Linked DNA regions of Oryzias latipes. The protein of the gene in region 1 binds, or shares a complex with, the protein of each later gene. Links are inferred from orthologs where the notes say so. Each region holds a gene or a part of one and is shown on either strand. Other genes may lie near its edges.

Region 1 (8,074 bases):
AGGTGCTTCTCTAGTCAGACGTCTTCAGGAAGGGCCTGGTCTCAGAGCGGACTCGCTCACACCAACAGGATTATTGCTACAGGGCAGAAGCTCCTCCTCTCCAGACGCTCCCTCACTTCCGGAAGAACTTCAGGTAGATCACGGCGCCCAGGATGGCGAGCTCCATTAGAATGATGACAGCCAGGAGCAGCTTGTTTGTCATGAGCCTGCAGGACAGAGAGGAAGACCCTCCTCATCATCGGTGGATTTAAGCGTTTATTTGATTATTGTATATGCGAACTGGTCTAAGTGACTCCTCCTCCCTGGCGTTCCAAACAGGAAGTGCCCGCGGCCTCTAAGACGCCAAAATCCCATAAACTTCTACAGCTGTTGACATTCCCGGGGCGGACACTCTACCACGCGTGACCTTCTTGTGTTATGAGCAGTTCTTGCTTTACCCATAATACTCTGCTTCAATAAAACGATTGTCCTCGCTCCGCTGAGAGTGAACACGCCCTCGTTCTCAGACGTTCAGGTGTGCTTCCACACCTGAGGGCTGTCTGAGGGAGACTTTTTATAGTCTGGATCCAAAGCCTGTTCTTCTTCCTGTTCTCCAACTCTTGACTGTGTTCATGTTTATGTGCTTTTATGTTTTTTTAAAGTACTGTACATAAATGCTGGGCACAAAGGGGGCGTGGCCCTTTTGACTGACACGTGACCCTTTGAATCAACCCGAGTGGTGGGTGAGCTTACCGCCGAGACATGGCCCGCAGAACTTTCCTACTTCGACTCAGGTTCTCTCCCGTGTTCACCAACTGAACAGAGGAAGAAACGAAACGAGTGACGCGGGAGAAGGAAAGGAGGAGGAGGAGGAGGAGGAGGAGGAGGAGGAAGAGGAAGAGGAAGAGGAAGAGGAGGAGGAAGAGAAGGAGAAGGAGGAAAGGAGGAGGAGGAGGAAAGGAGGAGGAGGAACACGAGGAGGAGGAAGAAGAGAAGGAGGAGGAGAAGGAGGAAAGGAGGAGGAGGAGGAAAGGAGGAGGAGGAGGAAAGGAGGAGGAGGAACACGAGGAGGAGGAGGACAAAGAGGAGGAGGAGAAGGAAAGGAGGAGAAGGAAAGGAGGAGGAGGAAAGGAGGAGGAGGAGGAGGAGGAGGAGGAGGAAGAGGAAGAGGAGGAGGAAGAGGAAGAGAAGGAGAAGGAGGAAAGGAGGAGGAGGAGGAAAGGAGGAGGAGGAACACGAGGAGGAGGAAGAAGAGGAGGACAAAGAGGAGGAGGAGAAGGAAAGGAGGAGGAGGAAAGGAGCAGGAGGACAAAGAGGAGGAGGAGAAGGAAAGGAGGAGAAGGAAAGGAGGAGGAGGAAAGGAGGAGGAGGAAAGGAGGAGGAGGCGGCGGCCTCACTCTGTCTCTGGTTCGGTCCAGCTGCTCCCTCTGCCCCCCCAGCTCTTCGATGATGTCTGTACCGATCTGCTCCGTCTCCACGGCGATGCGCTGGCTGCGCTCGATGCTCTGCGTGGCGTTGTTCAGGTAGTCCGTCCCCTGAAGCAGCAGCGACCTCTGCGACTGCAGGTGTGTCTGCACCCCCCAGGGACAAACAGGAAGTCAGGAGGTTTCCAGAACACCTGTGAGGCGTGAAGGTCCACACTCACACTCTGCTGGTTCTCGGGTGAATAGAGGCCCTGGCGGTCGCCGTGAGACGTCAGGGGGGCGGGGCCGAAGCCGGGAGCAAAGGTTTTCATGTCCCTCTGCAGTTTGCCGATGTCTCTGCGGTACAGACGCAGCTTGGTGCTCATGGCGTTTCTGTAGGACGCCGGCGCCGCACGGAGCTCGTCCTCCATGCCCTGCAACTGTGAGAGAAAATCCAAGTCCATTTGATCAAAAAGATGGATTTTAGCGTCTGAAACGACTATAGAAACGCCGACAAGGTTCAAGAAAAATGGAATTATTAACTCTTCAGTTAAAAAAGAAATTACACCTGAGACATGGCAACCATTAATGGATTATTTCTATAGACAAGTCAACCTCTACTTGAACATTTAATTGTAAAATCTGCAGGGTATTTGTTTGTTTTGTTGTTCTTTGCTTTTCTTTTTTTTGGTATTGTTTGCTGTAAAAAATAAAAATAAAAAAGAGGGGAAAAAACAATAAAACATTTTTTTCTTTTATTTCAAATGAATGAAAAGAACAAAAAGAAATTTAAAATAGAAAACTAAACTTAAAGCTGCATGCAAACCATGTAACCATAATCACACTGTTCATTTCAAATAAATGTAAAAACAGTATGAAAAAAAGAAATTAAAGGTTAATCAGCTGATAAACGCACAATGACTTCATGTGAAACTAGAAGCTCGTTTTCCCTCCAACAGGAAGAGATGAACAAAATTTGATCAAATATTCTTATTTTTGTGTGTGAAACGCAACCAAATATTTGAACTTTGACTTCAAGTCTTCGCTGGTTCTTGACTGTAGCACCAAAAACCCCAGTTTGATTTTTTCAAAGCCTTTTTTAAAAATTAATATTTAATAATGAATGTGCCATCTGTTGTGTTTAACCGCAAAATGACTCCATGAATGTGAGCCGTCAGGAAGGAGGACATCTGCTTACCACCTCCTCAGCCTCTCCCTGCCGCTCATCGAAGCTCCTCACCAGCCTCTTCCTCTCCTCTGCAGACCAGAGCACACAGGTTACAGAGGCTCCTTCCATCCATCCATCCTTTCAAACACCCACTGCCATGAAAACGATGGGGGACATGTATAACATGTAGCTTATAACTGCCTTTCTGAGTAATTCTTTATTCAAATCGTTGTGAATCGGGAGCGGACGGAAAAAAAAGCAGTTTGAAAAACGTATATTTGCGATGTGTTGCACCTGTAACGTCAGGTTGAGGGTGTGAGAGGCTGTAAGCAGGAGAGCGTGTAAACAGACGGGTGACGGGAAGTGGGGGTGGGCTTACTCCTGCCGACAGTCCCGCCCACAACTCTGACGCAAATTTCTAACAAACTGCTGTCCTAGAAAACGACACAGCTTCTTGGCTAAATAAAAAAAAACATGATCATAATTTAAGACGACTTTGGAAATAGATCAAAAGATGATCAGAGTGAGATTTTGTTAGTTTTATTCATTCATAACCCAGGAGACGTACAGTAAATAATAAAGACCATTACCTTGTACATCAATTATAAACACCAGAGGGATAAATATACAAAAATAAAGTTATATGAAATGACAAACCTGAGCAAAATGACAAGTATGAATTGCTTCTTTGTTTGTATTGGGGGAAATGGATTGTTAGTAAAATCTAATTTAAGTCGATCAATCAAAACAATTGGGAGCTTTATTGCTAAATTTAGTTTTGTGAATAAAATACTTAGTAAAATCAGGAGATTCGTTAAATCAAATTAAGACGAATGTTTATTATCATAATTAATGAAACCAAATAAGATGTTTTTTCCATGCAAGTCCCAAAAAATATGCATCAACAACGTTTCCTCAAATGAAAACAGAAAGAACAGTTTTTCTGTTTTTAGCCTTTGCATAAACTGATTTGTTGGATGAAACCTATGAATGATCTTGAATGAAACCTCTTTCACTTTGTTTTTTAGTGAGATTTTAAGAACACAATGAGCAACAAAGAACATGATCCTCGTTTACCTCCGTGACATTTCGCGGCTCTGTCAGGAATTAACTTCAGCTCCTCGTACAAAGATCTGTAGATTTCCTGCAACTTCTCGAATTCCTCCGACGACATTTCTCAGGGATCAACCCGGATAGTTCCTCCTGAATACAGTTATTATTGCTCCTCCTGAATATAGATATATTCAAGAGTCTTAAAAGGTTTTTTTGTAGGTGGAAAGGTTAAGATAATCTGTTTGTTTTGCTTCCTTCATCATCAGAACCCGGGATTCTTCCGCATGATGGTCCTCGTGACCAAAAGGACTAAAATTCCGTAAAAGAATGAAATAATCGGTTGTGTTTTACACATTTAAAAATTAAAATAGTGTTAAAGATACCATTTTAAATTTATTTTTTATGAACTGTATCACACAATATTGCTTATCGGAATTTTAAAAGGGAAAAGAGTAAAGATTTCTAGTCAGGCAGTTAAATAGACACCTAACATTGGCTCCAGGGGAAATTGGGAAGTGTAGTTTATTGATTTCGTTAAACAGAAGAGTTCTAAATTGAATCTTTAGTTACAAGAAAGAAAATGTTTTGATTTAAATTTATGTGTACAATTAAAATTAAATTAGATGCGATTTCTATAATTCAATTTTTGCAACTGATTCAAATAGGCCTACTGGTATATGTGTTACTCAACTTACTATTATTTTAATAAATAAAAGGATATTTGTAAAAATAAAATAAAACCTTCACTACAAATTGAGTTTTTGTGCTGAAAATGCATTTTTAGTTTTTAAAAAGTTAATATTATTTGAATGTTTTATCTTATTTTGTTCGAGGACAACGTATAATAATGCAATAGATATTCTAAATAAATGTTATACAGAAATAACCAGAGGCAGCTTTCAGTTTTATGAAGTGATAACGGCAACTTAAATGGTAATTGATTCTAGTGATAATAATAATAATTGTTCAAATGATAATAAATCATATAAATGTATATACATTTATTTAAATTTTTTTTGCAAAATATAAGGCTGTGGGAGGATTTAGATTTAGCTGTTGTGTTTATATGTTTTTGTCTTTTTTTCCAATTTCTTTTACAAAATTCAATCTACAATAATTGACATTTTTCCATGTTTTACTTCGAATTCTGGCATTACATTTCTTAAATTAAACTATAGTTTTGTATTCCTTTATAATGAACCGTTTCTCACTCATCCTTTACGATTTTTCTTACTGTTTTTTAAACACATTTAGTTTGTATATATATCTTTTGGCATTCATTCTAATCTTTCCTGCTGCTACGTGAAATTAAAAAACAACATTTTTTTTGTATTTGACCTCCAATGTAAAGGACTACAAAACACAACAATGACTACAATCCCACAATCCTTTGCACGTGCGCTCTCGGTGCCGCTGCGCCCCTCCAGCCCTGACATCAGCTGCTCAGCCCCGCTCTGCCCACACATCCCTGACGTCCGGCCGGAGGCAGAGGCCCGTGGAAGCGCTCAGATGTGGGTCTTGGTGATCATCGCGGGGATCGGGGTGGTGACGCTGCTGCTGCTGCTGTTCGCTCCGCACATACGGTGAGCTGCAGCGGGGACCCGCTGTCCCCCCATCGCGGTACCTGCACTGCTGTGACGTCATCAGCACGGAGGCTGGCTTTGCTTTTTAACCCCAGAGGTGTTTATTTGAGTCAGCCGCTTTGATTTCGGTGTGAGTTTTGTCTCAAATCCGCTAAACGGTGACGGAATTTTGAGTGAATCAGAAAAACGTTTGAGCACCGGGATGAGGCGGCCGCCTTCCGTCTGAGCTGCTCGGGCCTATCAGGTGCCCGCACGTGGGAGGAGTCCAATTAATATGCGTAAGCGGAGCGGGGCCATTGGGTGCGGGGCGGGCCCGTTCGGTGGCGTGGGTCGCTCGACCCGACGATCCGCGCCGTTCCGCCAAGTTTGTCCATGAATAATTAACCCGTGTGGCTCAGAGAAATCACTCGTTCAGACGGAAACCGTGCCGTGCCGCTCCGGGTTGGGTTAAAACAGCTGTCTCTGTTGAACAGAAGATATGCAGCTGGAGCCGCGTGCAGGACCGCGAGCCGCCTGGACGGGAAGACGGTACTCATCACCGGAGCCAACACCGGCATCGGGAAGGAGACCGCGCTGGACCTGGCCCTGAGAGGTGAGTAGGGTCCGAGGAGACCCGGGTGCTGTCCAAGTCCTATTAGTGGTCTCACTGCATCAACATGTCACCCCTCACAATCCAAAGAAAGTGTCTATGACCAGACCGTGGATTCAGACCCACAACCTCCCAGTCTCAGGGCAGACACTACACTGGTGGTACATTTAATTTAACCAGATTACCTCATTTCAGACAAAACTCTTGATTTTACATCATTTTATGGGAGGGGGGGACAAACATCTCAGCCAGTTCACCTCAAGACCAGACCAAAGGAATATCAGCCTCTACAGGCCTCGGGTAGCTACCGTTGACTCATGGGCCTCTGTCATGGGTGGAAGGGTGATGATTTCACAAATTGCAAATCCATTTTCAATTTGACAAGAATCTGGTTTATTTCCTGAGTTCGTCATCGGGTCTTATGTTCTCCAACGGATCCTCAAGTCAAAGCTTGGGTTTTTCCCAATTCATCGAGTCAAAGCTCAGGGCTTCTTCCCAACTTCTTCAGTTAAAACTCGGGTTTTCTCTAAGACTCCCCAAGTCAAAGCTCAGATCGTCTCTTCGACCACACGAGTCAAAGCTCAGATCGTCTCTTCGACCACACGAGTCAAAGCTCAGATCTTCTCTTCGACCACACGAGTCAAAGCTCAGGTCTTCTCTGACTCTTCGAGTTAAAGCTTGGGTCTTCTCCCCAATTCCTCAAATCAAAGCTCATGTCCTTTCAGCAACTCTTTGAGTCAAAGCTCTGGTCTTTCCTCCAATAAATTGACTCAAAGCTAAGGTATTTCTGCCCAAGTCATCGAGTCCAAGCTCATGTCTTCTGTCCGACTCCTGGAGTCTAGACTTAGGTCTTCTCTCTGACTCCTCATATTAAAGCTCAGGTTTTTTCCCCAAGTCCTCAAGTCAAAGCTTGAGCAAAGACCCAAAGCACAGCAGAGTGTTCAAACTCTCTGGTGGGACTTGAAAGAAACAGGTCATGAACAAAATCTTCAATAAAGAATCAATTTGTAACAGCAGCTACTTTAGATTCTAGCAAAGAGGTTTTAGAAGCTCGTGGTTCATTTAGATTCTCACATACGGATTCCTGAGTCCACATCGCAGTCAAATCAGTTCATCTAAAGCTGGAACTCTACACAGAATGGGTTTTTGTCTCCTTACCGTGTCGGTTTTGCTGGTCTCTCAGGAGCTCGGGTCATCATGGCGTGCCGAGACACAGAAAAGGGCGAAGAGGCGGCAGCCAGTATACGAGCCGAGTGCCCCAAGGCTCAGGTGGAGGTTCGAGAGCTGGACTTGGCGGACACCTGCTCCATCCGAGCATTCGCTCAGAAATTCCTCAGAGGTGACTCAGGGGGAACTGTTCTCCATCCAAACAGCAGAACCTGAAGGTCTGGAGCTTCTTCTGTCCTCCGTTCCTTTGCAGAAGTCCACCAGCTCCACATCCTCATCAACAACGCCGGCGTGATGATGTGCCCCTACACGAAAACGGTCGACGGCTTTGAGATGCACATCGGAGTCAATCATCTGGGTATGGCGCCACAGACATACTTTAAAAAAGTGATCATCATCTCCTGTAGCGGTTTGGCACCGAAGGAGAAGATTGTTTTCACTCCTTTCTTGCTGAGCCTTTGAGCAAAAAGGTAATTGTCAAAAAAATAATTTCAACAGACTGTACCTGGTACTTGGTGAACACCGTGAACAGTACTACTATGTCAGGAATGTAGGTGTAGTCACAACAAACCCGTTGCCAAGGAAATCCAAAAGTTGACTTTTGCAGACTCTTCTAAAACTTACAGACGTGTTCGTCGCCTCCTATGGAGCTAAAACCAACAGAGAAGCTGCCATTGTGAAAACTGTCTGCTGTCAGAGTCCTGTCCAAATTCAACGACTCCTTCAAATGCGGCCAACAAAGACGGCCTTCTTTTTTCCAGATTTCAAGGGGCGTGAACAAATTCGAGGGCCGCGGCCTTCCCGGTTGACGTTGGCCGGGTCTTTCGTCCAGCAGGTAGGCTGGATATTAACGGCTGTAAAATTTGGACGAGTCTAGACCAATCGTTGACCAATCCAGGGATTTTCTGACAACAATGGCGGAATGGGAGGCGGGACCCCGGAGTTGGAGATAATTACACCTTTTTATAATTACACCTCCAAGATTAAAAGTTGGATCAAATAAACCAGGAACATTTTGAGCTCCATGCCTGGTTCACGGTTGCTAGGCGACAGGACATTCGCCGATGGAACGCCTGGCATTATCTAAAGGCTACACTCGTCCAAATTCACAGCCGTCAACAACCGGCCGCTG
Region 2 (7,982 bases), on another chromosome or scaffold:
TGTAAACAAAACCATGTGACTAAAGATCTCTTCAGTCATTGGCCAGGAACTACGAGGACGGGTCAAAGCAACAAGAGAAAGACGGACGTGCTGCACTTTACAATCCGTATTGAGACTGTTAACGTAACCCTTGTGCTATCCTAGGCACTTTACCATTGGGAGTTGGGTCATCTAGACCCACTAGACAGTGCTCTGAACCTTTTTTCTTCAATGATTTGTGATCTTCACTGGTGTCCATGGATTACATGAAATCTTTCCACCTTTATCCACCGTTGTCATGGTAGGGAGAACACGTCAATGGAAGGGTGGGGTCATCTGGACCCCATAAGATAGCACAAGGGTTAATAAAGCTTACCAGGTTTTAAGGTCAGGAACAACATGTTTTATTTGTTTTTTTTGGTATGGCAGAGGCATGCTGTAAGGCGGCTACTGCAAGGAGACGGGCCATGTGAGCTTCAACTCAGAGGATGCTAGCAACTGTAGTGATGAGGAGATGTTGGGTATGAAGGAACGCTAATGAGTGTTTATGACATCTAGATTGTTGGGGAAACTGGGAGAAGTGATTTGTATCACGTTAAAAATTGTGTTGATGAGTCTGAACTCATCCGACCACATTTCAATGAGTTGCTGTCTCATCATTGTGGTGTTATGGCATTGTTTTGAAGAGATATCTGAACTACAAGGGTGACGTCACAGCAGCACTGAGTGTATGCCGCGTAACGAGACACAGAAATGCGTGTAAGAAACTTTTTCATCTGTGCTAAAATAACAGCTGAAAACTGTTCGCCCGTTCCTTCATTCCTACTCTGTTTAAATCGGCTACGGTGGCCGTTTTGGTTCAGGTGTTTCGCTCCAAGGACGGATTGTATTCAGACAGAGGTATCTCAGAGCGAACCAAAGCTCAGTCTGATTGGAAACGAACCGAGACAGCCCCAAAGATGGCTCAGAGAGCGTTTCCTGGTCCCCAACCGCTTGGATGTATTCAGTCTGAAAATCTGTTACAGATTATCAGGGAAAACGAACGCCGGTTCAAGTTAAGGAAACCAAATGTGTCCAGTCTGACTAAAGCCTTTGATCCGTCTAGAAATTTCCCACAACTATCTGCCTTTTTTTTATTTAAGATAGAGAGACTGACAAATCTTCAGCATTACAACCACGTTAGTGGAATATCAATAAGTGTTTGTTCTGCTTCTTATAAACTCCACGATCATCACCAGGGAGCGGAAAATACACCTTCATTTGACAGCTTCTGCTTTCTGGGATCTACTGCCTTCCTGCTTGAGACACAGTTGTAAGGCCTGAATTTGGAGGATTAACTCTCCAGGTGGATTGCGAGAACCACATAGACAGCAGGTTTTCCACACTCATCTGTGAAGAAGCCAGTAACACTTCCACTTACGTCTGTGACAGCAAGACAACTGTTTATGCAGAACCCTGGGAACACAAACGCAGTCCCTTTCCTGGATTATAGTCCTTTGTTTGATAAATCACTCAAAAAAACAAAAAAGGTACAAGTGATTTGATTTCATCGCCCCTTAGAGTCACAGAGGAGTAGCTCATAAAAATAACAAGAAAAACATTTAGCTCTATTTCTAAGCATTTTACGCCCAAAACTGTGATTGGGTCTTAATCCAACATTTTGGTATCAGAAAGTGTCTCCATGTTGGATAATGTGACGACATTCCAGCCTTCAACATTGTTCCTCGCAGTCTTCCCTTGCTATATCGCAGTTTCACCGTCTCGTTGATTTTCTTAATGCAATTTCACATGGTTTTTATTTTGTTTTTTTTATTTCAGTGTTCTGTGTCCTGATTGGCTGTAGATCTAGTCAATGTATCTCATTTGTAGCGTGTCTCCTGTTCAGAATGTATTATGTTTGCCAAATCAAGATAAATCTTTGATCACAATCAGATCTTTGTTTTCCTTCTATAATCCTGGATTATTTTTCTCGGAAGGTTTGAACTTTAAAAGTTTAAACAAAAGAGAAAAGTGTGAAAATGTTCATGTCTCTCTGAAAAGAGTGTAGAAAGTGTGTAGTGAGGAGTTTTACAGCCTTAAAACATCTGTATTCCTACTTTGCAGATGTGACCTATCCCGGGTTATTTTTAGAACACAACACTTGTAATAAACCAAGTAAACTGCAAATTCTAAATAAAAACTGGGATGTATAGCAACAATTGTCTGTTTTGAAACAGCTTCGATCATTTTAAGAAAAAAACAGTTTTCAGATAAAAACAGCTAAAAAAAAAACTCCACCTAACATCTTTGTACAGATGGATGAGATTTAAAAAGAGGATTTCCCGATTACTTACCATGCCGTCCAGGTAGTCGTTCTGATCATCAACCTCTCTGTCGATGTCATACGCCAGCTGTCAGACATGCAGGAGAAAATATAACTGCAGTCATAAGATGACAGATATGTGGCAGACTTAGCAGTTTGGAGGCCCCAGGTGAACAATAACGTGGGGCCCTATGCAGCGGTTGTATTCATTTTTTTTATTTAACCCGGGACAGAAGAAAAGGACTTTGATGGATTTTTGGATGCTGATTGATGACTGAAAAAACAAAAAATAAATCACAACCAACTCAGTTTTGCTCCCGCTGCCTTTTTTTTAAAACACACACTAGCAAGCATGTTGTACCGGTGTTTTAACGTGCCCACGCCCTAACCCCCGGAGCGCCTTTTGTGTGTCAAATACAGGAAAAATCCCCCATAACTGAAACTGCGCCCTATAACCTAGTGGTAGTCTTTGAAACATTGACTGTAGTCATTAAAGCATAAAGTCTGCACCTGCCATTTAGATGTTCCACACTCACACATTCATAAGCTTCATTAAGTTATGCACTTTTGACATAGCCTGACAACAGAACCTGCAGGAAGCTACAGATGTGACAGAGACGTTATCAGCCATGGCGGAACAAAGAATGGACACGTCTGACTGATTAAATATACGATTAAGCCTCTAAAACTGATTGTTTGAGAAGCGTGACCTGTCCAACTTTTTCCAAAATGAGAATGCCGCAAAAAAGTTGGGGCAATTGGATGAAATTCAACACGAGAAAATGTTGTGGGATTTGGTTAAACTGCCGTGAATTGGTGCAATGGCAACATTGCGAAATCCTGTAAGGTCTGACAGAAGCATAAATGTATAAACGTATTCGTCTCTCTGCTTCCATTCAAGCTACAAATAGAGAAATAAAAGTACATCATCTTCAGGAATCTGCAGAAATGTTCTAGTTTGACTCACAGATTTCAGTCTGGAGACTTTGGTGGCCAGGTTCTCAGCCAAACGTTTGTTTTTAGCATCCAGCATGTCATCCACTGAGTCATGATCTGAAAACATACAAGATGAATTAAAAGTGATTTGTTTTAGCCAAAGGTTTTACATTTAATCAGACATACACATTAAAAACTTTTGTCAATAAAGCCCAATTTAAAAGAAGCTACACGTGAATGGGTTTAAAACAGACCTCAAGTTTTGCTTTCATTCTAGCTGCACTTTTGAATGCTATGTTAAGATCTTTGATCACAGATTTACTGATGAGACTGTAGGAAGTACCATGACCTGGAGGAAACCAAAGAAAAGGTGATAGTTCACTCATGAGATATCGGCCTGCTGCTCCATCATCACTGAACACCCAAGCCAGGAATATTTAGGGGGGAATATAACTAACACCTTCATAAAAACTGGACTGAAGTGTGCCTGCAGAAAGGCTGTACTGACTGTACTGACTGTACCTGCAGTACTGCCGAGGAGCCTGTGTACTTTCAGGGAGGAGTCACTTCCGAGGACCTTTTTACTCTCTGTAATGGTACCAGCAGCCAGAAATGGTCTTTTTATTTATGATGATGATGATGATGTTTTTAGCCCAAATCTAAATAACTGTGTTGTTTTCTAGGACATAGTTCCTGCAGAGCGGTAGGAGTTCATCAGAACTTCACCTCTGAGTTGTGGGCAGAACTGTTGGTGCAGAGAAAGCCCGTCCTCATTTCCTATGATCCCTGTGATTACATTCTCTACTGCTAGCGTACAGCCGCTCAGAACCCCAAACTAATATTAGCAGTGCAACAAAAATGGTGAGCAATATCAGAGCTATCTGGTGTAGGTACCGTAACCGTTCGCCTGCAATAACCGTTCGGGGGCCTTTCGACTGAGGATACGGTAAATTACATTACACTTAAAAAATTTACTTGGCATGTATATATATTGCTAATACACATTAAGATTATAGTTAGAAAGCATAATTGGTTAAATATAAATGATAAAATATACATTTCTTGAGAGCACTAAAATTTGAATTTCTTTTTCTTTTCTCAAGGTTAGAAAGAATGTGACAGACTGTGCATTGACAGAGGATGACATTTCAAGCGCTGAAGAGATGGTTAAAGCACTTAAACCAATGCTTGTGGAAAAGAATCCAACCATTTCAATGATTGCTCCTCTTCATGCCAAACTGCTGTACAACTCAACTAGCACTGAAGAAGATTCTCCTCTGGTTCGAGAGATCAAGACCTTTCAAAGAGATATCAGTCTGAGGTGGAAAAAGATCTCCTACGCATGTCCTCAGCCCTAGACCCTAGATTTAAATCTCTTTTGTTTCTGCAAGACACGTCTGCAAAACTGAAGTCAAAAGCAGCTTTAAAGGAAGGGGATCCAGTGTCTTGTGATGACCTACAGGAGGATTTGGAGGATGAGGAGCCGCCACATTCCAGCAGCGACACCAGCACCACCAAGAAAAGAAAGTCTGCACGAGTAGATCTTCTGGGTCAAACCTTCAAGAAGACCTCTTATGCCTCTACAGCAGCAGCCTCGCAGAAAAAGAGGTCAAACAATATCAAGACGCCTCTTCTCTGCCTCTCACTGAAGATCCACTGCTGTGGTGGAAATCTCAACAGCATGTGTTCCCTCTGCTCTCCAAACTGGCCCATATGCATCTGTGGATTCCAGGGACTAGTGTGGTAGCGGTTATGGTACCTACACCACCTACAGCTTAGATCCAGAGTCCAGCTCAGAGAAGGAAAACAAAGACAGAAGATGGATCCATTTGACTGACAGGGGATGAATCAGAATGGAGCGGAGCAGGAAGCTTGTGGCTCGCCGATTGTAGCTCCTACGTCACAACTACAAGTTTTTTCAAACTGCAATTTTCCGTCTGTTCCAGATTAACAATAGTTTGAATAAAGAAACTCAGAAATGCAATTTTAAGCTTACTTACTTTTCTCCATAATGAGAAACAATGGCACAAGAACAAGTTAAAAACACAATTTTCATGGGAGTGGGTCTTTAAATACTGAGCAGAAACTCGAATGAGAACCAGAACCACAGAATTTCAGGTTAAACCAAAGTTACCGACGGACATGAGAGATTGTAATGTCATTTCCGACCATAGTATTACTAATTACACGGATTCCGAAAAAAAGGAAATTTGTTTATCTAAATAGGAACCAAAAGATGAAAAAATAGAGTGAAACTTGAACATTTATTTGAAAAAAAATCCCTCAGAACTTAAGGTGGTTTTATGTAAATAAACGAATTTGTTGACAGCTCAAAGTTAGTTCACTTCATGATAGCTACACTGACTTGTCAACAGCTAACTAAACTACTGTTAGCTCAGAGTCAGACGCTCCACATTTCCGGTCGTAATCTAATCCGACTTTATTTCGCTTTAAATACTCCCTCCGATCTACGGGACTCGTCTTATCCTGATTAAAACACCGAAGATGAACAAATATTAAAAAGTGAATACGTGTTCGGTTTCCTACCTCTGTCCCAGCTCGCCATCTTGCTTTGTGACGTCACAGTCAGCTGCCCGGAACACGTGACTACGACACGTTATCAGTTCTGATCCTGAAGGAAACGGAACAGGTTGAAATGAAAGTTTAATCCAGAACCGCATAATTTATTAATGTTCTCTGCTTTCATCGGGATGAAAAACACAATTTATATAATTTCTTAAGATTCATTTTTTGTTTCTTTCTTACGCTCTATAGAACAATTCAAAGTTCCTTTAGTAAAAATTACTTGAAGTTTTTGTTACTTGAGTATGAGTATTGCAAGTGTACTGTAGACCATGTACATGTAGTGTAAGAAGTATACTAACTGAGTCCTTCTGAAGAAATGTGAACATTTTAAGTCTACAATGCATGGATATAAAAGTTTAAAGTATACTGCCTACCTTTTAGTGTAGACTAAGTATACTTGTAGTACACTTAAATACACTACTTTTTGCGAAGAGTTTGCTCTGGTAAATAACTATTTTATTTTCTATTGCGAGAAGGTAACAAATTAAAACTATAGACTCTAAAGTGAATTTTAGTCAAATCTAGGTCACAAGGAAGGAATAGTTATTTTAAAAAAGAAGTATTTGATTAAAAAAAAGATTTCTAAACACATCACTCTTGAACTGTTTACGCTTAAGCTAAGGCCCTTGTTTCTATTGATTAAATCTGTTCTTTTTTTAATTTAATTTGCTATGTTTCGTTTTAAATTGACTGCATTCTTCAGTTCTTGAATAACATTTTTGTTTACAAATCACACTTTTGAAAAACAATGAGCAGAAATACCTCGTTCACACCTTTTTAATCAAGCTTGTGCTTTTTCCTAATTGAAGTGTTTTGTGTTGTTGTGTTTACAGTATTGACAAAATGTCTTGGGTCTGGATGACCCTTGTTTTCTGGAAACTGTTCTGCTCTGGAACTCTCCTGTATGAATGAGAGTCCTCACAGAAATCATGTGTCAGCGGCTCAGCCGTGCTGGTTGTGTTCTTTGGGTATTGGCTTCATTGACCCGGCAATCCTCTCTCCACATATAGGGAGGGGGATCCTTGAGATTTCTAGCATCATCTGAGCCTGGTGGTGTTTGTGTCCCTGGTTCTGGTTCTGGTCCGTGCATTCTTGCTATGTAACTCCTCATCATCATCAACACCAGAGAGCCTGGTCGGTCCATGCTAACCATTTTTCGCAGGGATCCTTGTCTCTCGCTGGAGCCCTCTTCCTGCCTGGATCTGTGCTGGACTCCCCACAGGGCAGGGAGGTAGTTGGCTAGGCTGTGACATGAGTGTTTCTTGGGGGATGCAGACGCCTGGGTGTTGGTGGACGCCTGATCTGCGGCTGTGGGAACTCTCAGGTGGGTGTGACCTTGCGCTGGACCTTGTGCTACCTCTGGACTGGGTGGCTGGTGCCGTTTGTCTAGGGGGGCAGACCCCTTCGATCTGCTTCTCTGTGTGGGTGTCTGGGGGGTCACGTCTGCCCCTGCTGCCTTGCCAGGGAGTTGGTGTCCGGGTGATCGATAATGTCTGAATGTGAGGTTGAAATAGAGCAAAAATCTGAGATACTTAAACAAGCAAAAGTGGCATTCCTTCATTCGTAGCATGTTTTTTTTCCTGGAAAATTAAAAAAATAAAAGTGATACATGAATGTTGGCTCAAGCTGAACAAACTGATATGTGATATGAACATATTAGGAATTGGCGTGGTTAACAAAAAAACCTCAGTTGCCAAGGAAAAAGTTTACCATTGCAGATTTTTATAAAGTGATGTAGATCTGTTCTTCACTCTCAGACAAACAAAAACTACAATGGTTCTTATGGAGACTACAGTAAACCCTTCTGTTTGGAAAAAAAATGTTTTTCTCATGAATTTGTCACATGTTGACCAGTCTGGCAGAGGAATGTGAAGGGCTCAAAGCATCTCCTAGGCCAGTGAGGGCAGGTAAAAAGGGGGTAGTAGGGGGTGTGAGGGTGGAGGCAGGTTACGCCTGCGCCCTCATCGGCCAGATTACTTGTGTTTTTCGGACTAAGCGTTAGACAGGTCTGTTTTTAACTAGCTTTGCAGTTTGTCTTAAGAGGAACTGTGAGGTTTGTAGCTTTGGTCTAATCATCTCTGCCCTGTGTTAACTGCACAGCATCATCGGCATACGTCACAATGTAAGGATGATGTGGGAGGTCAGTGATGTACAACCAGAACAGCAGGGGCCTGAGCTG
Region 3 (8,074 bases), on another chromosome or scaffold:
GACGTGAGTTCCTTCTGGGAAAGAACAGCGCCGACCCCGGAATCCGAGGCGTCGACCTCCACGATAAACTGGCGTGAGGGATCTGGCTGAATGAGAATGGGGGCTGTGACAAACAGTTTCTTGAGATGGTCAAAGGCCTGTTGGGCTTCTTGGGTCCATTGAAAGTTTTGATGGGTGGAAGTGAGGCGAGTGAGCGGGGCAGCAATGCTACTGTAGTTGCGGATAAAACGTCTATAGAAATTAGCAAAGCCCAGAAATTGTTGCAGTTTCTTCGGATTGGTAGGGGGTTCCCAGGCGGAAACAGCCTCGATCTTGGAGGGATCGGGTTTTATACGACCTGCCTCAATGATGTAACCTAAGAACTGAACAGACTTGACATGGAATTCGCATTTCTCTGCCTTAACATACAGCTGGTTCAATAAGAGACGGGTGAGGACTTGACGGACGTGTTGTTCATGCTGGGTAAGATTGTTTGAGTAAATGAGGATGTCATCAAGATATACAAAAACAAAGCGATTTAGAAAATCTCTAAGAACGTCGTTGACTAACCTCTGAAATACTGCTGGGGCATTAGTCAACCCAAAGGGCATAACTAGATATTCATAATGCCCCAGGGGGGTATTGAAGGCAGTCTTCCATTCATCCCCCTCTTTGACACGGACAAGGTGATAGGCATTACGGAGATCCAGTTTTGTGAAGACGTGGGCTTCCTGGACGGAGTCGAAAACAGAGGAGATTAAGGGCAGAGAATATTTGTCCTTTACTGTAATTTGATTGAGTTCCCGGTAATCTATGCAGGGGCTTTTCGACAAAAAAGAAACCTGCCCCAACAGGGGATGATGAGGGACGAATGTGACCCAGGGATAGCGCCTCCTGGATATAACTTTCCATGGAAAGTTTCTCAGGCCCAGAGAGGTTGAAAATGCGGCCCTTTGGTAAGGTAGCACCCGGTAGTAAATTGATTTTGCAATCGTAGGGGCGATGGGGAGGAAGGGCGCTTGCCTTAGATTTGCAAAAAACATCACGTAGGTCATGGTAACAGGAGGGGATCTTATCCAGATTAATGTTACTGGGAGAGTCAGTGGTGTGATGATGAGCCGAAGGTAAGGCGGACGAGAGACAATTAGCAGAACAATAGGGGCTCCAGTTAGTTATGTGTCCTAAACTCCAATTAAATTGTGGGTTATGCAACTTTAACCAGGAGTAGCCTAGTACTATGGGCGTATGAGTGGACTGGGTAATGAAAAATTGCATAACTTCCCTGTGGTTGCCAGAGGTGAGAAGTTGAACAGGTTTGGTTCTATGCGTAATTCTGGAGAGGTGCTGCCCTCCTAAGCCCGAGGCCTCTACAGGAGCTTCCAGAGGTTCTGTGGGAAGACCGAGTTTAGACACCAGACCATGATCAATTAGGCTCTGTTCGGCTCCAGAATCTATAAGTGCCCTGAAAGCATGAGTTTGGGTTTTACAGCATATTCTGACAGGAATGCACAGGAAGCTTTGATTTTCCTGAGTGCTGAGGTTGCCCCCCCGTGACCTGTCACTCAGCGGGGGGTTTTGGGAATTTAAACGCAGAGTGCACTGTGAAACTAAATGTCCATGGGCTCCACAATAAAAACATGAACCCTCCTCTTTTCGCCTCTGTCGTTCTTCTGCAGATAGTTTAGAATGATCTCTGTATAGGTCCCTCAGATGGTTTGGAGCTTGCGAGAAAATCCATTCTGAGGGGCGACTGGGCTGTGATGGTAGAAGGGGCCGGATCGCTGATGGTTTTCTTCGGGGTCTGTTGGCGATCATGACGTCGCTCGGTGAGTCGGATGTCCGAGCGGAGGGCTGCTGAAACGAGCTCTTCAAAGGAGTTAGTTTCAGGCTGAGTACAGAGATGGTCTTTAATTTCTTCATTCAAAGATTGATAAAAAATGCCCTTTAAAGCCAGATCTGGCCAGCCTGCTTCGACCGCCAGAATGCGGAGTCAATGACGTGCTCACTAACAGTCCGGTTGTGTTGTTTCAGGTTAAGTAATTTACGTGTGGCTTCTTCCCGTTTACGGGGTTGGTCAAAAATCAAACGGAATTCGTTTAGGAAGTGTTCATAGCGAAGGTGACTAATAGGGTTAGCAGAAACAAAGGCTTGAGCCCACCGAAGAGCTTTCTTCCGGAGAAAATTTATTATAAGGGTGATTTTACTGATATCAGAGTGATAATGCCTGGGAGCCTGCTGGAATATGAGTTGGCATTGAAGTAAGAACCCGCCACAGGCTTCTACGTTGCCTAGGAACGGTTCAGGCTGTAACCGGAAGTTTTCGGGTGAGTTGACAGGACCGGAAGCGGAAGCTGCATTGTTGCCGGAAGACGGAGTAGAAGCTCCTATAGCAGGGTTAGCATGTCGCTCGGTTAGCTCGGAAAGCGTTTGGTTCATACCTCTGATGCGAGAGATCGTGTCCTCTTGGACTGTAGTGACGCGGGTGACCGCACTGGAGAGGAGTTCCAGGAACCGACCTTGTTGGGAGACAATATTTTGTAAATCTTCCGGGCCAGCTGGGTCGGGGTTTTGGCTAGTTGTTCGTTCTGTCATGACTTGTCAAAGCTAGACAGACCCAGACGCTGAAACCCAGAAGGAAGACAGGAGGTGAGTGAAGGTAAATAATAGATTTAATTTTTCCAGCGGATGAATTTGTCCTGTTGTGGCGGGGAATGGCAGGAACGGCAACTCCAGATGAGAGGGTGGATCTTGACGTGGCTGGAGGTTCGGCTGAGGCCAGAGCTGAGGCCTGATGTATGGAGCGTTGAGAGGAGGTAGGTAACTCCGGGGATAACTCCGCTTGGGCTGAAGCTGAAGCTGGCGTCCACTCGTGGGATATGTAGGTCCTGGACATAGAAAGACTAGAGTTTAGACGAGGGTAAAGATACGTAACAGGAAAACTTGAAAGAGACCAGACAAGCACCATCAGGGGCAACGAACTAGCGTTGAATTCTGGTCCTGGCGCTCCTTAAGTAGGTCTGGCAGGTTGATGAGATGAGTGAACGCAGCTGGGACGAATCAGTGGCCAAGCAGAGAGGGGAGGGGGAAGATAGCTGACAGAGGCCCCATGACAAGGAGTTCACTAAAATTCACCTCTGAGCTTTTGGCAGGACTGTTGGCATGAAGTAAGCCTGCCCTGACATCATCCCTTTGTTTACACTCTCTCCCACTAGCCTACAGCCCCTCAGAACCCCAACCTAACATTACAGATGCAACAAAAATGGCGAGCAATATCGAAACTATCCTGCCGTACAGTTTTGAGCCAGATCTCAGCTCATACAAGGAAAATGAAGGCGGAAATAGATCTAGTCGTCTACAAGTGGATGCATCAGAATAGAGAGGAGCTCAGAGCTTGTGGCCTGCCAATTGTAGCACCTATGTCACTGCTTCAAGCTTTTTCCAACAGCATTTGTTTTATCTGCTCCTGATTCATAACGATTTGAATAAAGAAACACTCAGAAATGCAGTTTTGATCTTAATTTTCTTCATAGATGTCAAAAAAACGCCACAAGAACATGTTAAAAACACCCAAATCAGGATTTTTATTGGAGTGGGTCTTTAATGTGAAGCACAACTGACTACTATATAATTATTGGACGAATACTGATATAAAAGTTAGGCTCAATCATTTTTTCTGACATATTATTGACATATATACTATTTAATACCATAAAACAATCCAAAAAGCACACAAAGGGAGATTTTCTGAGTGGTTTAAAGAAAGGTGTGACATATGATGGAACGGATAAGGGAAGGTACGACGGTACAGGGTTCAGACGGGTGGAAGGCTGGGGATCTGGGGCTGGAGGCATACTTGTGGTCTGAGCATGCTTGGGCCTGTCAGAAAAAGGATGCAGGTACCAGCAGGAGGTTGAGAACATCAGAGAGCAGCAAGATCGTATCTTTCTCTTTCCATGCTGTACCTGAGTGTTGAATCACCTGAGGAAGCAGCCCATCCTGTCCTTGTCCAAATGTCTGTTCTGTCTTTTTGCTGGGAAAGATTCAAAATGGGTCTTTCAATTATAAAATTTCATGTCATTGGTACATGAGGTTTGCTTTTATATTTCTTATTTTTATTTCATTATCAGTGTTTTGCCAATTAGAAAGACATTTTGTTTGAAAGGGCATAAGAACAAAAACATGAAGTCATATTTACAACTTTTTGTAAATGCATCCTTGACATACTTATTGGAACTTCATTTAATATGTAAAACTTATACACACATTCTACTGCCAGGATGCATCTCAGAAATTGCTGAGATTACTAAAATTACCAAATATAGCCAATTAGTCTCTAAATCCACTTATTCCTGTTCAATGCCATCGTCTACCCAACCACTGAGGAGGGAAGGTAGAGTACATCCTGGACAGTTTTCCAGTCCATAGCAGGGCAACACGGAGACAAACAACTACAAACGTTCACACCCAAGGGACTATTAATAACCACCAATTGACCTACGAAGCATGACTTTAAACTGTGGGAAGAAATCAGAAGAAACCTACGCATAAACGAGGAGAACATGCACACTCCACACAAAAAGGTGCAGCAGGGTTTTGACCCAGAGCCTTCTCCCTGTGAGATGAGAATGGCAACAACTACGCCAGCACCACCAACGTATTAGTAATAAATATGACACCTATTTTTTTATAAACGTCTTAGAAAAAATACAAAAACAAAGCTTGTGTTTAGGCCCCACTACTTATTGGACCGTTACAAAGAAATGGATAAACATAACGTTTGAAACGTGTCCCTTAACTCAATGCTTTCTTAACTCGAAATAAGTAAAGTGAACTGGGTCCCTATTATTTTTTATTGTTTTATTTATATGTTTTATTGTTTATTTTAATGCTATTTTAAAGGCCTAAAAAGTATATAGAAATCACAAACATGTCATAACATGTATTTGAGAACACGTGTTGAACTTCAAGTCATGTCTGAAGAATACCAAGGAGAGGACCAAAATAATTTTGATCCATTAAGATAATGAATGTTTTTATAACTTGGTTCTTTGTGTTGTTTACATTTTCTGCACTTTTAAAGTCCCACTCCAATCATCTTTTGATCTATTGTAAAAGGGTTCCCAGTGGTATTTTAATTATGATTATGCCGTTTTTAGCCCCCAAAAAAACCAACGTTGTTTTCTGGAACATGGTTTCTGCAGAGCCAGATGTCAGCTCAGTTGAGGAAGCCAAAGACGCACTTGTATATAGTTATCTGCAAGTGGACGCATCAGAATGGACCAGAGCTGGAAGCTTGTGGCCTGCTGATTGTAGCACAACTACAAGCTTTTTCCAGTGGTATGTTTTCATCACCTCCTGGTTCACATTTGAATTAAGAAGTACTCAAAAATGCGATTTTAAGCAGAATTTTCTTTTGATATGTTCTTCAGCATTAGAAAAATGCCACAAAAACATGACTTAGGCCTTATACAACACATGTAAAGCAAGGCAATTTCATTTGCATATCGTTTTATGCAAACAAGGGAAATTAAAAATGCTTTGCAGAAATAAAATTGTTTTAGCTACATACAGCAAAGTAAAAAAAAAAAAACTATGTTTAAACTGGAACTTCAATCAAGAAACAGTTGGTTAACATCTGAGTTCACCAGGAGGTTGGTTCTAGGGATGGGTACCGTGCCCCGGTACTGAACCAGCCCCGGGGCCACATTGTTCAAGACCGCAGTATCGTTAAGATCTGACCTGAACGGTTCTGCTATCGGTACTGGAGAAGTTACTTTTTCTTTTCTTTTTTGTGTCCCACAAGTGTTATCTGCCATATTTAACTCACCAAGTCAGTCAATTTTCCGTTAATTAATTATGATATTAATTTTGGTATTCTCGTTGAAGCGGGGGCGGGGCTGTTTTTCAGACAGCACGCGCCGCGCGCGCACACACACACACAAGACAAGGCAGCGCACACACAGTCAGTGGCGATCTCGTAGGGGACACGTGAGCGCCCTAGACTAAGAACACCCGTTTCTGCGTAAAATTAATGAAGTTTGCATCAAGGAGCCCCTACCATGCTGTCACCTTGCTGCTACGATGACCGTATGTTGCGCTGTCTGTGTAGAACACGCTGGGGCGGCGTGATCTACACAAAACAAACAGGTAGAGAGGCGGGGCTTAAATTCACCGCTTATGATTCCAGACCCGTGACAAACTATCAGCTGCTTCCTAAAACTTATTTTTTTTCAACTTTATTGAACATAGTATTAACATGCAAAATACTTCCTAATACTTAATAATAATTAATGACTAATGATAGTTGTCATCCGTAAAATTAATATAAATTATTGGGTTTACTGGATTTAAACAAAAATAAATAAATAGAAAGGAGTCTGTATCAAAGTGAATTTGTTTCCATCATCTCACTCAATCCTAACTCTGGTGTTTGACAGACAGAAAAGTCTATTCAAGGTTGTGGAAAATGGACAAAAGATCAAAGGAAACATCACGCTCATAAAGAATAAAAATAATTAGATTAAATAATTAAATAAATATCCTGTCTGGAACATTCTCATGTATAAAGTAAAATCTTTTGTAAAAAAAAAACAGTGTTGTTGCATAATGAGGAAATAAAACACTTTATGTTCTTAATTTGTTATTTATTTATTTTTCGTCCTCAAAAAGTATCGATAAGTGTACCGTTAAAATACCGGATCGATAAGCAGTATCGATAAGAGTAGTAGTACCGTTAAAACCTTAACCATACCCATCCCTAGTTGGTTCCATCAGTGAGCTTCAGAATAGCTTAAAGGAGCTTCATCCAGTTTGGATTCTGCCAGCGTGTTACTTCCTGCAAATCCTACACATGCTCGGTTTGTAAACCACAAGTAGACCCAACAAGTCCCGCATCTTAAAATGATTCATAAACTTGACTTAGCACTTTAAAATCAATTCTATATTAAACTGGTAGAGCAGACAGAAGACATTTGCTTCAGTCCAGCCTGCAGGAGATAAAAGCATGAATCACCTTCTCTAAATCTAGGCTAGACATTAGATCTCTGAGTTTCCCTGTTAGATTGTGATGATAAAAGGATGATTTAGCCCTAATGTGAGGCTAACAAGTCTAAATCTATTGTGACATCAAGATTTCTAACGTGACTTTTGGTCTTTATTACTCTAGAAACTATTGTTTTAGCTTTCTGAGATTTGATCTGTTATTTTTATTTCATGGTAGACGTGTTATATTTTCTTTTTGATGTACTAAGCTATCTAAAGAAGAGGGTCAAGCTTCAAATAGTTCCTCCTGTGCTTTAATTTAGCCAAAAATGATCTATTTAATATTGTATTATATTATATTATATTATATTATATTATATTATATTATATTATATTATATTATATTATATTATATTATATTATATTATATTATATTTATGTTAATCATTAGGTTAAATCAACTGTTCTCTCAATATTTTGAAGTACATTTTCACTTCACCCTATCATGTTCTACTTCTGAAGATATGATAATCAGTCATTTAAAAGTAGTTAAGTAGGAGTTAAGTAAGGGATCACAATATTATTTGTTTCTTTTGAATTGATAAAATAAAAACATCAAATATTACAATAAATGACTACATGCAATATTTGAAAAGGACTTTGAATGGAGTTTGATAACTTATTGAGTGCAAGCACCTTGTTTCAATTCAGTCCAAACTTGAATTTTTGCAGAATTAGAAAAAATAAACACAAACATTGAAAAGAAACAGTTGTGGTTAAAAAAAGGACAAAAAAATAAAATAAACACCAAAACCAACAATAAATGAATGAATATTGTTGAGTCCTTTATATCTATTTCTTAAATCACTGTCTACAATTTCTTTTAAATTTTTAATTTTAACAATTTTAAATATCTTCCCTGCAGCTATTTTATATTTGAACCCCTCTTGTGGATGTATAGTGAATGTTAGCCTTTGTTCTCACAGCTAGTTTCATAAACATATATGATAATCTAAGACCTTATTTATTGTCTCTTAAATGGAAGAGCCTGTGGATGCTCTTTGGTAATTGTTTATTATTATTTTTTTAACATGATTTGAATTATTTTGAAATC

Evidence for each region. Proteins that work in one complex are often made in the same cells at the same time.
Region 2: vti1b (region 1) and bet1l share a complex: the UniProt entries of both Homo sapiens proteins name them as parts of the SNARE complex. The link is inferred for Oryzias latipes from reciprocal best matches to the Homo sapiens genes VTI1B and BET1L.
Region 3: vti1b (region 1) and stx5 share a complex: the UniProt entries of both Homo sapiens proteins name them as parts of the SNARE complex. The link is inferred for Oryzias latipes from reciprocal best matches to the Homo sapiens genes VTI1B and STX5.

What each region holds. Positions count from the first base shown.
Region 1 is NC_019880.2:1,873,045-1,881,118, reverse strand, and holds the start of vti1b (vesicle transport through interaction with t-SNAREs homolog 1B), read right to left. Parts: upstream 3,933-8,074; 5' UTR 3,725-3,932; coding exon 3,628-3,724; intron 2,703-3,627; exon of another isoform or gene 2,680-2,702; coding exon of another isoform or gene 2,640-2,679; coding exon 2,581-2,639; intron 1,823-2,580; coding exon 1,625-1,822; intron 1,551-1,624; coding exon 1,377-1,550; intron 795-1,376; coding exon 733-794; intron 207-732; coding exon 113-206; 3' UTR 1-112. Other genes in the region: retinol dehydrogenase 12, read left to right, coding at 4,972-5,186, 5,660-5,778, 6,959-7,114, 7,196-7,300. UniProt on the Homo sapiens protein: V-SNARE that mediates vesicle transport pathways through interactions with t-SNAREs on the target membrane. These interactions are proposed to mediate aspects of the specificity of vesicle trafficking and to promote fusion of the lipid bilayers.
Region 2 is NC_019864.2:3,546,643-3,554,624, reverse strand, and holds the start of bet1l (BET1-like protein), read right to left. Parts: upstream 5,855-7,982; 5' UTR 5,784-5,854; coding exon 5,765-5,783; intron 3,335-5,764; coding exon 3,249-3,334; intron 2,370-3,248; coding exon 2,313-2,369; intron 1-2,312. UniProt on the Homo sapiens protein: Vesicle SNARE required for targeting and fusion of retrograde transport vesicles with the Golgi complex. Required for the integrity of the Golgi complex.
Region 3 is NC_019868.2:11,882,329-11,890,402, forward strand, and holds the start of stx5 (syntaxin-5), read left to right. Parts: upstream 1-2,773; 5' UTR 2,774-2,792; intron 2,793-8,074. UniProt on the Homo sapiens protein: Mediates endoplasmic reticulum to Golgi transport.